Drosophila melanogaster: one gene and its partners. The protein of the gene in region 2 purifies or fractionates together with the protein of the main gene of each other region. This does not show direct contact. Each region holds a gene or a part of one and is shown on either strand. Other genes may lie near its edges.

What was found. The genes of interacting proteins can lie anywhere in the genome.
Region 1: the proteins of tex (region 2) and thoc5 purify together in Drosophila melanogaster (affinity purification with mass spectrometry, with the first as the bait; one large-scale study listed by BioGRID). This does not show direct contact.
Region 3: the proteins of tex (region 2) and Hpr1 purify together in Drosophila melanogaster (affinity purification with mass spectrometry, with the first as the bait; one large-scale study listed by BioGRID). This does not show direct contact.

What each region holds. Positions count from the first base shown.
Region 1 is NT_033778.4:23,952,269-23,956,948, forward strand, and holds thoc5 (thoc5), read left to right. Parts: upstream 1-1,822; 5' UTR 1,823-1,895; coding exon 1,896-1,970; intron 1,971-2,030; coding exon 2,031-2,825; intron 2,826-2,879; coding exon 2,880-2,992; intron 2,993-3,050; coding exon 3,051-3,138; intron 3,139-3,191; coding exon 3,192-3,728; intron 3,729-3,784; coding exon 3,785-4,027; 3' UTR 4,028-4,138; downstream 4,139-4,680. Other genes in the region: Stoml2 (stomatin like 2), read left to right, coding at 1-166; CG3803 (uncharacterized protein), read right to left, coding at 270-1,122, 1,181-1,313, 1,371-1,473, 1,555-1,647; CG16787 (uncharacterized protein), read right to left, coding at 4,153-4,680. UniProt on the Drosophila melanogaster protein: The THO complex is required for cell proliferation and for proper export of heat-shock mRNAs under heat stress.
Region 2 is NT_033777.3:8,306,928-8,310,200, forward strand, and holds tex (tex), read right to left. Parts: upstream 1,719-3,273; 5' UTR 1,649-1,718; coding exon 1,559-1,648; exon of another isoform or gene 1,504-1,558; coding exon 969-1,503; intron 914-968; coding exon 576-913; 3' UTR 546-575; downstream 1-545. Other genes in the region: CG11693 (uncharacterized protein), read right to left, coding at 2,051-2,979, 3,036-3,078.
Region 3 is NT_033777.3:5,818,252-5,823,211, forward strand, and holds Hpr1 (Hpr1), read right to left. Parts: upstream 3,190-4,960; 5' UTR 3,082-3,189; coding exon 3,004-3,081; intron 2,937-3,003; coding exon 2,253-2,936; intron 2,096-2,252; coding exon 1,809-2,095; intron 1,751-1,808; coding exon 1,448-1,750; intron 1,394-1,447; coding exon 640-1,393; 3' UTR 543-639; downstream 1-542. Other genes in the region: CG42675 (uncharacterized protein), read left to right, coding at 1-507; CG46303 (uncharacterized protein), read left to right, coding at 3,830-4,096.

The DNA.
Region 1 (4,680 bases), on a different chromosome or scaffold from region 2:
CTTCGTGGCCCAGGCCCTGGCGGTGTACAACCACGTTTCCAACTCTAACCAGGCCACCAAGTCATCGGAAAACGTGAAGGGTGTGGGCGCCTGCCTGAACGCAAAGAGTGTTGAGTACAAGGAGTTGCAGGAGGATAAAAGCAGTGTGAAAATGAATATTGAATAGGAATGAATAAACGGTTGTTGCTATTACATTTGCCCCACTCATAGTTGTTATTATCAAGGCGAGGATATTAAATTTTTGGTTCAACAAATAAACGCCTATTTATTTACTTCGGAAGGTACTTCAACAGTCGAACCTCGTGCGACAGCCACAATGCGAAACTCAGCAGAATAAGCGAGCCCGACTGGTGGGCCGTTGCCAGAGGCACGGGCACGTAGTTAAGCAAGGTGGTTACGCCAAGCGTGGCCTGCGTCCAGGCCATAGCCACCACGGCGTTGATGGCCCAGTTGGCGCGCTTGGGCAACTGCATCCTTCTGGTGACCAGCCACAGAGCGGTGGTCAGCGTTACTGTGCTAATACCAAGGATGCGGTGATTGAACTGCACCGTCGTCGGATTCTCGGTGATGTTCTTCTGTATGGGCGCAAACGTCCACATGTCATCGGGAATCCACTTGTCGCCCATCTTCGGGAACGAGTTGTACACGAGTCCGGCGTCTAGTCCGGCTACAAAGGCTCCAGAAATGGCAGTCAGCAGGACCATTGCCTTCGTCAAATGCGTCAGCCCCTTGATATTAAATGCTTTCTTGGCTTGGATCACGAATGTGTTCGTGGGGATGAGCAGGGACATGGCCTTTGACAGGGAGAGTGAGTACAGGACGAAGGCAGCTGCCAGGTGGGAGGCCAATCTATACTGGGATACCCGTGGCACGTCGTTGGGATCCTGGAACCTGTCTTCCAGCCCGGACTTGACCATGTACCATCCCATCAGACCTTGCAGGCCAATCAGTGTGCCCAGCAGCAGGACGCTCTTCTTGGTCTTCGCACAGAAGTATCCCTTTCTCCAGAAGTAAACAGCGGGCAAAAGGAAGAACCCGCCGATGGCACGACCCCACATCCTGTGCATGTACTCCATCATGAAAATGAACTTGAACTCCTCCACGGTCATATTCACATTCTTTCTGAAAGCAGAAGTTTGCATGTAGTTCCTGGCGTTGGATGAATCTGGGGAGTACTCACAGCTTGTACTCTGGGTATTGCTGGTAGAGATTGAACTCCTGCACCCATTCCTCCTGGGTTCGGGGCATACGTTCACCCGTCAGCTTCCAAGTGACCATGGACAGTCCGGACTCTGTCAGTCGGGTTACTCCGCCTGGAAGAGATTCACTTTCGCAAGGAACTACAAACTTTACATTTTGTTATTGGTTACCTAGACCAACGGCCACGAAGACCATGCCGCTGACTCCCAGGAACCATCTTCCGACGGTCTTGTCGCTTTTCGGAGTGCTGATGGGCTTTATCACTGGGATTTCCTGAAAGGTGCGGCATTAACAAATATTACTTTATAAATAAAAACATATTTTTATATGTAATCAGTGGGATATTAATGCAACCTTTATCGCTGTTTGCGCAATCGTCTGGTGAAGTCGGGGGCCGGGTACTACTAGCTTTATGAGATTGGTTCTCTTCTGGAGCAATCGCAGCATTGTGTTATTTCAAGTTTGGAGAGATTAACTTAAGCTTACAGCAAATATTAAAGGATATATTTTGTTTTTTAACTATATTTACAAAGCCGCTACCAAGTGTGACCGCAGCAGTGGGGTATGCGCATATACTAAAATCATTTTGAAAAGTACCGGCGAATGTTATCGACTCGATAGCCTGGCCACATTATATCAGTTTTGTTAATAAAAACAACTTTTGCGGCTTCTGATTTACAATTTCGCCAAATAAAATGGAAACAATATTGAACACGCAGTTCGATCAGCTGCAAAAGGCCATAGAGGGAATTAAGGAGGCGAAGAGCAAGGTAAGTCCGATTTCCGTGCCAGAGTACAGCTCTAAATCCGTCCACATCCGTCACGAGCAGGGGCAATCGACGGATGAGGCTCGCATTGCCACCACCTTGATGTTCGTGGCTCTGAAGCACGCCAACCGCGAGGTGAAGCACAAGATCAAAGCGGGGCGCGACAAGCTGCACCTGGAAAAGTGCAAGGTGGACCTCAGCCGGCTGCAGCTGCAGAATCTTCTGTACGAAGTGAGCCACCTGAAGAAGGAGATTGTGCGCTGCCAGAAGTTCAAGAGCAGGGACACCAGCTTGGAGCTGCTCTCGGAAGCCGAGTACTCCAGCGAGCTGCCAGACATGCCCAACGACGCGGAGGAGCTGTCCAGCCACAAGCAGCACCTTCATCGCCTCGACTGCGAGCTGCGTCTGCGGAAGGCACTCGACAAGCAGTACAGCGCCCTGCTGAGCTCCAAGCAGGAACTGCTCCAGGACAATCTTAGCCACGCCCAGCGGTACGTCTCCTTCGCACCCGCCTTGCGCACTCTGCAGAGCGCCACAAAGCCGCTGCACGATGCACTCCAGCTATCCCTGGACGTGGAATGGAAGCTAAGCGCAGTGGTCAAGTACCTGCCCAAGCCGCTCTACGTTTTGTTCATTGTCCTGCAATCGCTGCAGCGGGTCAGCGAGGAGCAGTCCTTCACCGCCGAGGTGGTTGGCTATGAGAGCGAGGCTCAAATGCAGGAGTTGCTTAAGGAGAAAAAGTGCTCCACATTGAACTACAGACAGACTAAAAAGGAAAGTGGAGACCGGGAAAAGATTGCCGATAAAAACAACTTGGACGACTCACTCGCTCCTCACCCACTACACATTTGTTTGACGGTAGGATGACATGGTTTGCTCATTCCAAAACATTTATTAACCTAAACTTTAAAGATTGGAGCGGCTGGATCGAATCAGCTCGTTTTGCAGATTCGCTACTTTGATTTTATCAAGTGTGCCACTGTCTGGGGCCAACTTAACTGCTCCAGGAATGCCAACGGCCAGGGGTAAGTTTGGAACACACCTAGGAAAAAATCGCATAAATAACTAGGCATTTTTTCACAGTGACACAAACTTTGTTCACCACCTATTGCGGCATTTGTACCCCAATGACTTGGGCAATGAATTACCCATTCCGGGAATCCAATACGAGGTAAGAACTTCCTTATCCAACGTTGGACAACCAATTAAATTACGCTCTTTCAGCTACGAAGCTCGGATTTAACAGCCGAGGAATGTGTGCGCTACCTCAAGGCCAAGGACTACGGAAAACCCTTCTGTTGGCTGCAAAGTATGTGCTCGATTGCAACCGTCAACAGTTCGATGCTGTACAAACACGAACTGAACTTGAATAAGAACAACAAGGAGATTATTGACCGCATTGCCAGGCGCTTGAACTCTTGGCAGCGTTTAAGCCAGCAGATTCGCGGGCTGACCTTCAAGGATATCGATTTGTATAGCTTGCAGGAGAACATCTATCCAGCCGGCCTGTCGTGCAGTCTCGTCCAATGGACTGCCATCACACATGAGGAGCTTCACTCGCAAATTTCAGACGCACTGAATTCTTCGTCAGCGGACAAGGGTATTACGTACAACTCTTACCGCGCTGTCATCGTCCGGGGATCGGCCAAAATGGAGTGCTTTATTAGAATACCGAGTAACTATCCACTGGAAATGCCTCTATGGATTCTGAATGTGCACTGGAACGGATGCCTTACCGCGCAAAACAATTCGGCGATCAAGGTTTGAACTTATTCAGGTATTATCCTCCAATTAGCTTTTAAACTTGTATTCCTCAGATGATGGAGTTCTGGACCAACTCCCTGCAGCCCAAACATTTGGAGCCCAACGACTGCATCCTGTACGCGCAGCTCTTCCGCACCATCTACAGCTTCGATATATTCCTCGAAACCGAGGGATCCATGCAAAACACCATTGAGTACAACAAGGAGAAGCCTTACATAAGCGCCTTCGCCAAGCGGAGCCGCTCACGCCCCTACAAATACATCAAGAAGGGATCGGTCTACGCGTTCAAGCAGTGACAGTTGAATAACGAATGTTGTACAACACAATGCGCCAATGCGGTTACTAAACGTTCTCACAGTTGCGTTTATTACGATTAGTAATACAATAAATAAGTAACATTTAAAGCTAGCTAGCTACGACTTCATTGGCAGTTGATCTTCTGGGAAGAGGTCGCTGCCAAGGATCCGGGAGGTAGTGCCGTCGCAGAAGGGTTCTCAACCGCCTCCCGACTCTCGTCCGGCATCACTTTGTCCACGACGTGCTTGACGATCAGCCCATCGTCGCCCAGATAGCAGACAGAGTAGCCGTCGTACCAGGCCTCCTGATCCTTCAGCACCTCCTTCAGTTGCCAGAGCTTGTACTTCCAGAACTGGAACATGACCTTCAGGCCGGAAATGCCGCGCACTCGCCACCTTATCCGCACTGTGTAGTCGTCCTGGTGCTTCGTGATCTTGAGCACCTCGAATTTCACGTAGGCGTACTTCAGGTGGCCAACCGTTCGCAGGATGGCGATCTGTTTGACGTAGTGGTACAGGCCCACCGTGTGCTTGCCCGTTATGTTGTTGTGGAAGATTAGGCCCGGGCTGTAAATGGAGTAGTCTAGGGGCTCCACGAACAGCTTTGGTAGCGTGGTCCTCAGAACCTCGTAGGCTCTATCCAGGTCCTCGGG
Region 2 (3,273 bases):
GTCACTTGCGCCGCGTGCAGAAAGTAAGAGCCCACCCACTCCCACTCGCGCCAGCTCCACAAAACTTGACCTTATGGCTCTCCAGTTTAGCTGCCTAATATGGTCGTAGCGACCATGCACGCCAGCCAACATCTTTCCGGGATTGAGCCCTCGAAAAGCTGACACTGATTAATAGCTTAAGAAGCAGGAAGCCATTGCCGTAAAGCTAGCTACATGCATTGGGTCAGCATTCGCATCCGCCAGCGTCGTTATTTGCATGATAAAAGCAAAGTGCTTGCAACGTTCAGCTGCGCCGATTGAGCAGCTCCTGGAGCAGCAGGGCGCATCAGCTGGGTCCGGCAAAGCCATAAAAGCGAGCCAGAGATGATAAAACCGAAATGGCTGCCACGAACACGTCCGCCGGCGAAGCCCTGCAATTGATAACCTAGAATGCTCGCTCGGCTAGCAACGTGACCCAGTTAACACGAAAGTGCATCATCGACGGTCAGGTACGTCGATAAAGTCACACTCGAAAAGGTAATTGGAAAGCAAACAGGGTGGTCTTTACCATCAGATGCGCCTTAAACTAGGTTACTTTATTCCGAAAAGCCATATATCTTAACGTTGCCAGCGTCACGTCGCCGATCGTTGTCCTTCTCATCGCAGGCGTAGGCCAGCAGGTACTGCTTCGGATGCCAGGCCACCGTGAACGTGGAGGCGTCCACGTGAATGTCGGTTACCCGCTCGCCCGTCTCCGTGAAGGCAATGTCGATAATGAGGTCCTCGCTGGCCAAGGCAATCATTCGCTCGTCGTGGCTAAACGATATGGTGCGGACGGGCCACTCCAGGCGGCTGATCATGCGCAGGCAGGCCAGCTCGTTGGCATCCCACAAGGAGACTTGTGCGTCCGCCGAGCCAGTGGCAAAGTATTTACCTGGAAACGAAAGAGGCATATTTAGATATGATATGAGATTGCAATGGCTGCCTACCCGTGGGTCCGAACTCAATGCAAATGCAGTTGGCGGGATGGGCCTTCAGGGTCATCTGGTGCTCGAGACTGGGATAGCTGAGGATATGCATGCAGCCGAGTCCGTTGGTTAGGAAGAACAGGTCGTTGGTGTTGTTCCACGATATCTCGTTGACCTCGAAGCTGAACGGCTCCTCCACGCGAATCTTGTTCGTGCGTGTGTCTATAAAGGTGATCAGATCCTCCTTGTTGCCCACGGCGATCGTTTTGCCATCGGGCGACCAGGCAATGTTGATATTCTCCCCCTTGGTGTTCGTCACCGATACGCATTTTCCAACTCGTATGTCCCAGATGCGCACGGTCTTGTCTCCGCTTGCGGTGGCAAACTGGTCGGGATTGGTGCGATGCCAACACAGCTGGTCCACGGACGCAGTGTGTCCCCGGTATGTGTTGCCCTTCAAGAAGCGGTCCCGCTCCAGCGAGTAGACGACCACCGTCTTGTCGAAGCTTCCGGAGGCCAGGTAACGACCATCGGCATTCCAGCAGACCGAGTGAACCTGTGGGCAGGCGGGAATTCATTGGTTGCCCAATAAATGTGGCCATCGTGCTCACCTTAGACATGTGCGACCGCTGCTCGCGGATTTTGCTGTGACTCCGCAAATACGACTTCAGGTCTTCCAATGTCTGCTCCGTGCGACTCATTGTTAAATGTTTATTTATATTTCAACCGGCTTTTTCTTAAAAGATCTAAACAACAATGTGACTGTAGCCCACTAACCAAATTATACTAACTGCCCGATTTGCATTAGCAAGGACTCACACCAATATATCGATTCCTGGCTTAGCGGCTAATTCAAATATTCTTACAATCTCTGAGGTAACGTTTTCAAACGAGTTTCTGCCAACATTCAAGCTCATATCTTTTGTTGTTAATTACGCTATTGTTTGCGCTGCAAACATTTAAACAAGCAGAGAGAGAGAGAGAGAGAGAGAGAGAGAGAGAGTTTAATGTCAACAAAACTTTATTGTATCGCTGCAGCAAAACAAACATTAAATGAGGAAAACAAATAAATAAGAATTACAAGCCTAGATTGTGGCAGTGCACTATTGAAGTCTGTGGTTTCGCGGCGGCTCGCGCACATTCCGATCGCTCTTGTCGTGGATATGCACATTCTCCGCTAGCTCCACGTTGGCATGCAAGGCCGCGTCATTGGCATTCAAGTGCGCCTCCTGGGCGGACAAGGTAGCCTTCTCCGCCGCATCGCGCGTTTCCTCGTAGTCCAGTCGAGCTGCATAAGCCTGCGATTCGGCGTGCTCCAGCTTGGTCTTGGCCTGGGCCACCATATCAATTTGCGAAGCTAGCTCGGCCGCCGCCTCCGATGCTGCCTTTTGTGCCAACTCCGAGGCGGATTGGGCATTGTTAAGTGCGGCAGTTAGGACACTGACATGGTTGATGGCCTGCTGGGCGGCATATTGGGCTGCCTTGGCGGATCTCTTGGCCTGCTGCAGTTGGGTCAGCTCGTTCTCCATGGCCTTGTGGGCCTCCACGCTCTGATCCTCCAGCCGATGGAGCAGCACCTCTTTGCCCTTGAGCACGGCCACAGCTGTGCCGGCTGCTTGTGCTGCCGCCTGAGCCAGAGTACTTTTGGCCACATAGGATGCCTGTTTGCCTGCCGCATTTTGGCTGGCCACTGCGGACAGGGCCTGATCCGCTGAACCCTTCGCTATGCTGCGCAATCCATTGTCGGCCAGGTAGCCACCGCTTCCTCCTCCACCGCCTCCGCGGTGGGAGTGCACTATGTAATCGGAGGAGCCTTCGAAGTGGGAGAGCTTCACCTTGGCCGGTTCGAATTCGTCGTGGTTAATCGCCTCGTAGGTGTATGGCGGCACCTCGTGCTCGATCACCGCCGTTTGCTGGGGCACTGGACCCGGTCCATGGGGCGATGGCGGCGGTGGTGGCGGCGGCACATTGACGTGATGGTGATAGTGTGGCTCCTTCCGTTTGATCTTGCGACCCTGCGTCGGCATGGCCACTAAATCAAAGTCCCAATTTAGCCACATTTGCATGAGGAAGTCATGTGCGACTCACCCAAAAACAGCGCCAGGAGCAGCAGGTGCAGCAGCGATGGCATCTCTGGCGATTATGCAATGGAGCAGCTGGCGAAAGGAAGTCGCACAACCGGAAGACTCGTGATCACCGCAGGCGCAAGCTTTTGGGTTCCTCTGTCGCACGCCGAGTGCTGAAAGAAAACAAATTTCCGTTTTTAATTGGGGAAAAGTTTCTTCATTGTTTTTCACGTATGTATATGCTTTTCAGTTTAGTTAGC
Region 3 (4,960 bases), 2.5 Mb from region 2:
ACAACGACTGCAATCCCAGAGGGCACCGCTTTATGCCGCTACTGCGGACGCCACTTCAACACGGATCGTCTGGCGAAGCACGAGGAGGTGTGCCAGCGCATGCTGACCACCAAACGCAAGATATTCGATGCCTCCAAGCAGCGGATCGAGGGCACCGAGGCCGCGGCGTTCAATATGAAGTCGAAGGGCAATCGCAACCGTTCAACTTACAGTAGTGCTGCCCAGCAGAAGGGTCTGACCACTGGAGTGAAGAAGAACAACTGGCGTAAGAAGCACGAGGACTTCATTCAGTCGATTAGAGCGGCCAAGCAGGTGAAGGCGCACTTGGCGCGCGGCGGCAAGTTGAGCGACCTGCCACCACCGCCACCTTCGGAGAATCCAGACTATGTCCAGTGTCCCCACTGTGGTCGCCGATTCAACGAACAGGCTGCGGAGCGTCATATCCCCAAGTGCGTTAACATGGTGCACAACAAGCCCCGTAACGGTCCGCCGGCCAAGAGGCGTTGAGTGGTGATTGGGAATAGATATTCGCCCATTCTTTTACTTGTGATAAAGAAGTTTTATGATTGAAACGAAATTATAATAACTAGGGTGGGATCGGCATGGGGATGATGCTAATCAGAGAGCACCTCATCGTCGTTACCGGAGGCAGAAGGCGGCAGTGGATCCAGATTTTTCGCGCTCAATAATCGCCTTCACCGCTTCGGCGGCCTTATTCATCTCCAATCCCTCTAGCATGTACGCCCAGTTTTCCAGGGTGGCGTCGTCGTCATCGGATATCCAGTTTGTCAGCATCTTAACGCAGGCCACGTTCGCCGTAGGATGCTCCATTTGAAAGAAGAGAAGTTCATCGTTGGTGAAGCCAATCTTCTTTCCCACCTTCATCCATGGCTCGCCTATAAGGGGCGCCACCTCTTCGATATGCTCTTTGGTAACCATAAGGGGTTTCTCGTGCGCCGGTACCTCATCCACCTCTTCCACCACAGGTTCGTTGTCCTCTACTTCAAGATCCTGCTCTGGTTCACCGTCCTGAAGGGCGACCGTAGCATCCTGCTCGCCCTCCGTATGAACGTTGTTGACCGACAGGCCAAAATTGTTCTCAGAAGAGTTGTTCGATAAAAGGGCAGCAGGTTTGGGCTCTTTGTCCCGGATGAGACGTTTGCGCACTTGCTCAAGATAATCGGAGATCTTGCTCGATGGCTGAGAGAGCGACGTAAAGAAGTGCGGTGTTTGGCGGGCAAGCAAGCGCAGAGCTCGCCACTCAAAAGCGGGATCAACCTTTTCGTGCGGCGTTTCTAAATATGTCTCCAGCAGCGGTAGGAAGTTTCGCTGTTCACTTTTGCAGGCCTGCAAGTTATCTGGAGAGTAGTTCCACAAACGTGTTAGGTTGTCACTGGAAGTGAAATATTTTAGAACTGGCTTAGTTTGACTTACGTTCGATACTTACTTTCCCAAATAAAACTTGCCGCTGCGGGAAGCATCGCGCAGTGCATCGCCCAATGGACGGCGCGGTCTTTTATTGGGAGTTGGCTTCGAGTCCTCTTCGCTGAGAGTTGGTTCCTCGGGCTTCTTGAATTCCTTGCAGCCTTCGTTCTTCCAGTTGTTCCACATCTCTTCGCGGGCCAGCATGTGATACACTGTCCGTGAAAACCGCTTACCGTACGGTGGTGTCTCCTCTAGCAACTTATAAACACGCGACTCTGTTTCCTTGATAAAGTCCGCCTGGTCTGCAGTCAAGGTTTGAGTATCACTGAAAGTACAATCATTAAAGTTTGTTCGTTTTCCCTGGACTTTCTTCATATTCGAACCTTTTAAACTTTACACTGACTTGCAGGTACTGAAATAGAATTAGAAACTGCACCAGAACAGCACGTCGAAAATTAGCGTCGGAGAGCTGCAGAGCCAAAAGCTTGGGATTGGTTAGAAACTTGGCGAAGAAGTGATTCGCCTTGATGACGGAAGACACCGCCGTGGTGTCTACTGCCTCCTCGTCCACATCCATTGCTTGGTCAGTACCGCTCGCATTTTCGTTGCTACTTTGGCGCACGTCTTCCAGCTTGAAGCTCGAGAAGGACTGTAGTATGTTGTCAGCGTGCTGGAAGGGGAAAGTAACAATATATGAATATGAACCAACATGGGGCAGGATTATTAATAACCAATATTTATGAGCAAGCTAGCTGGCAAACATCTTTGATCTCTTTCCAAGATATATATATATTCTACAATTGTAATTGTGCCAAGCCACTGCTTACCATCTGGAACATCTTCCACTGCGGCTTATTGTAACACTGGTTGGGATTTCGGAAAAAGTCCTGCAGCGACCAAAACTTGCAGTACAGGTCGTAGTCGATCTTTAGGGGGATGTCCTCAGCGGTATCCTCCAGCTCCTTGTTGTCGCTTTCGTCGTGGTCTTTGCTGTCCAGACCGTACTCCGTAAAGTTGTCCAGGTTGAATTCGGAGACGATGTTGAGGCCAGACCGCTCCGAAAAGGGAAAGAACTTTGAGAGGAAAAGCTGGATGCGGCCACAGAAGACGGTGTTCTGGGTGCGCGAAAGTCGACGCAGCAGGTCGTTGCACATGCGTAGAATGTTGTTCTTGCATGAGGAAAAGAAGATCTCCTCCTTCCACACCTCCACCATATCCTCGACAAACTGAAATATCTTCTGGCACTTGTCCAGAGTGACCACGTCGAAGGTGTCGATCAGCAGAACCACGGGTATGGTGTTGGACACAATCTCGGCCCGCGTGGCTTCCACGGAGAGGCGTACAAGCTCTCCAATGCGACTCACATCTTCGTCCAGCCGCTTCATCAGGAGCACGCGGAACGCGTGGTCCATGGGTAAGCGCTTGTCGTGCTCGGTGTTGGCCGGGAATCTATTGTACTCCTTGACCAACAGCTCCACTTTGCCGTCGGTGATGGCCAATTCAAGGGCTTTCTGAAAATTATTATTTTCTATCAGATCGGAACATTGCCGGTTTCGGGGCCATTCATCAACGTTTTACCTCAAACGCCGACTGTAGCGCAAAGTAGTTGGCCAACTTCTCCGGAGCCGTGTTAGCCACTTCTACGGCGGTGCTCATATTGATTTAAATAATATTTTTGGCGACAACAGATAAAAACAATAAACTAATTTGTTTTTTCAATCAAAACATCACGAGTGCTGCCAACTCGTTTTGGTTAGTATATAATGCGCCGCTATAGTACTTTAAAGACCAAAAAATCGATGACAAATCGATTATAATTTTTTTTAGGCGCCTGTAAGTTAGTTTTTTTAAAAAAGTGTTTTTTTTTTTTTGTTAGCAAAATTTGTCCTTTTGCACCACATAAACCTGTTTTTGAAACACCAATTAGGTAATGAGGGTTTTTAGGTCCTATTCCTTAGAACATAATACTCTGTTTGTAAGCTTTTTTTTTCTTATTGACCCGAAAGACTTTTAAAAAAGCAACTACATAATATTTTTGTTAAATTGGTAACAAATATAATGAAAAAATATATTATTTTATTCTTCACTGCGATAAATAAAAATTGCATTTTAAATGCATTTCTCAAAATCGAATTTTTCTTATTAAACGTCAAAAACCACACATTGAATAAACTTTCATCATACATCAATTTAAAGGCCGAATGGTTTGTAGATAACGATAGCATTGAGCTGGGGCACGCGAACACTCCCGCTATCAGCTATTCCGACAATCACGCATAGATTTCAGATTCCAATTACTTTCCCACTGTGTGCGAGGTCGCACAAGCTTCATAAGTGCGCCAGGCGTATACAATGAGAATCGGGTACGGCTTTATTCCAAATCTTAAGCTCAGGCGAAGTGGCCATGCGCAAGTCGATTATATACATTCTGCTGTGGATTCTGGGGCTAAGCAGATTCTGCAGCAGCTCTGTGCTTAAAGAATTTTTTCCCGACTACAACTACCACAGGCCTTCTTGGTTCCAGTTCTATCCTGACTATTACAACAGAGGTTATTCCCAGCCACAGCCAGAAAGGCCTGCAAAATCGGCGCGGTCATACAAGGACATCTGCAGGTTGGTCAACACCAACGGATTCACAAACCCCGGAGGAGTGCCTAGGTGCCCTTACTAACTTGCTTAACATTTTTATCTACATATACAACACTCATATATTCTAAATAAAAATAAATTGCATTTACCATACTATACTAGGCTGTACCAAAGACACTAGAATAACAAGATGCGTAACGGCCATACATTGGTTTGGCACTATGCAGCCACTTTTTTGGTGACGGCCAAAATTACTCTCTTTCCGCTCACTCCCGCTTAGAGCGTAAGAAATCTAAAAATATAATTTGCTTGCTTGTGTGAGTAAAAACAAGAGACGAGAACGCGTATAAGTGTGCGTGTTGTGCTAGAAGACGATTTTCGGGCCGAAATCAATTCTGATCGAAGAAACGAATTTACATGGTACATATTAGGGTAGTTTTTGCCAATTTCCTAGCAATATGATAAAATAAAAAATTTTTAAAAATTCGCGCCCTGGCTATTATAATTTTAAAGCTTTTTTAAATTTCTTTGTTAAAATCGCCGCTCGAATTAGCTACCGTTTACACATTTGTATTTATGTTTAATTCTAATTTGTCTCTCATCTGACAATTTTTTAAAACCGAAATATTTTTTTTGAAACACTTTTAATGTTAATGTTACATCATATTAAGTCAAATGATTTAATAAATATACTAAATAATTAAATATGCAATTAAATTAAATTGCAAAAGTAATATCAAAGACAATAGAATTATTCTAGTGTCTTTGCTTTGTTCATATCTTGAGGCACGAAGTGCGGACACAAGCACTCAACAATCATTGCCTTATTAATTTTTCACACGCCGCAAGATGAATACTCTAATGACAAATATTCTTATATAAATTCATTTTTGAAATTTATTTTTGTGATAATATGTACATAGATTTGACTATTTCTAATCTATTT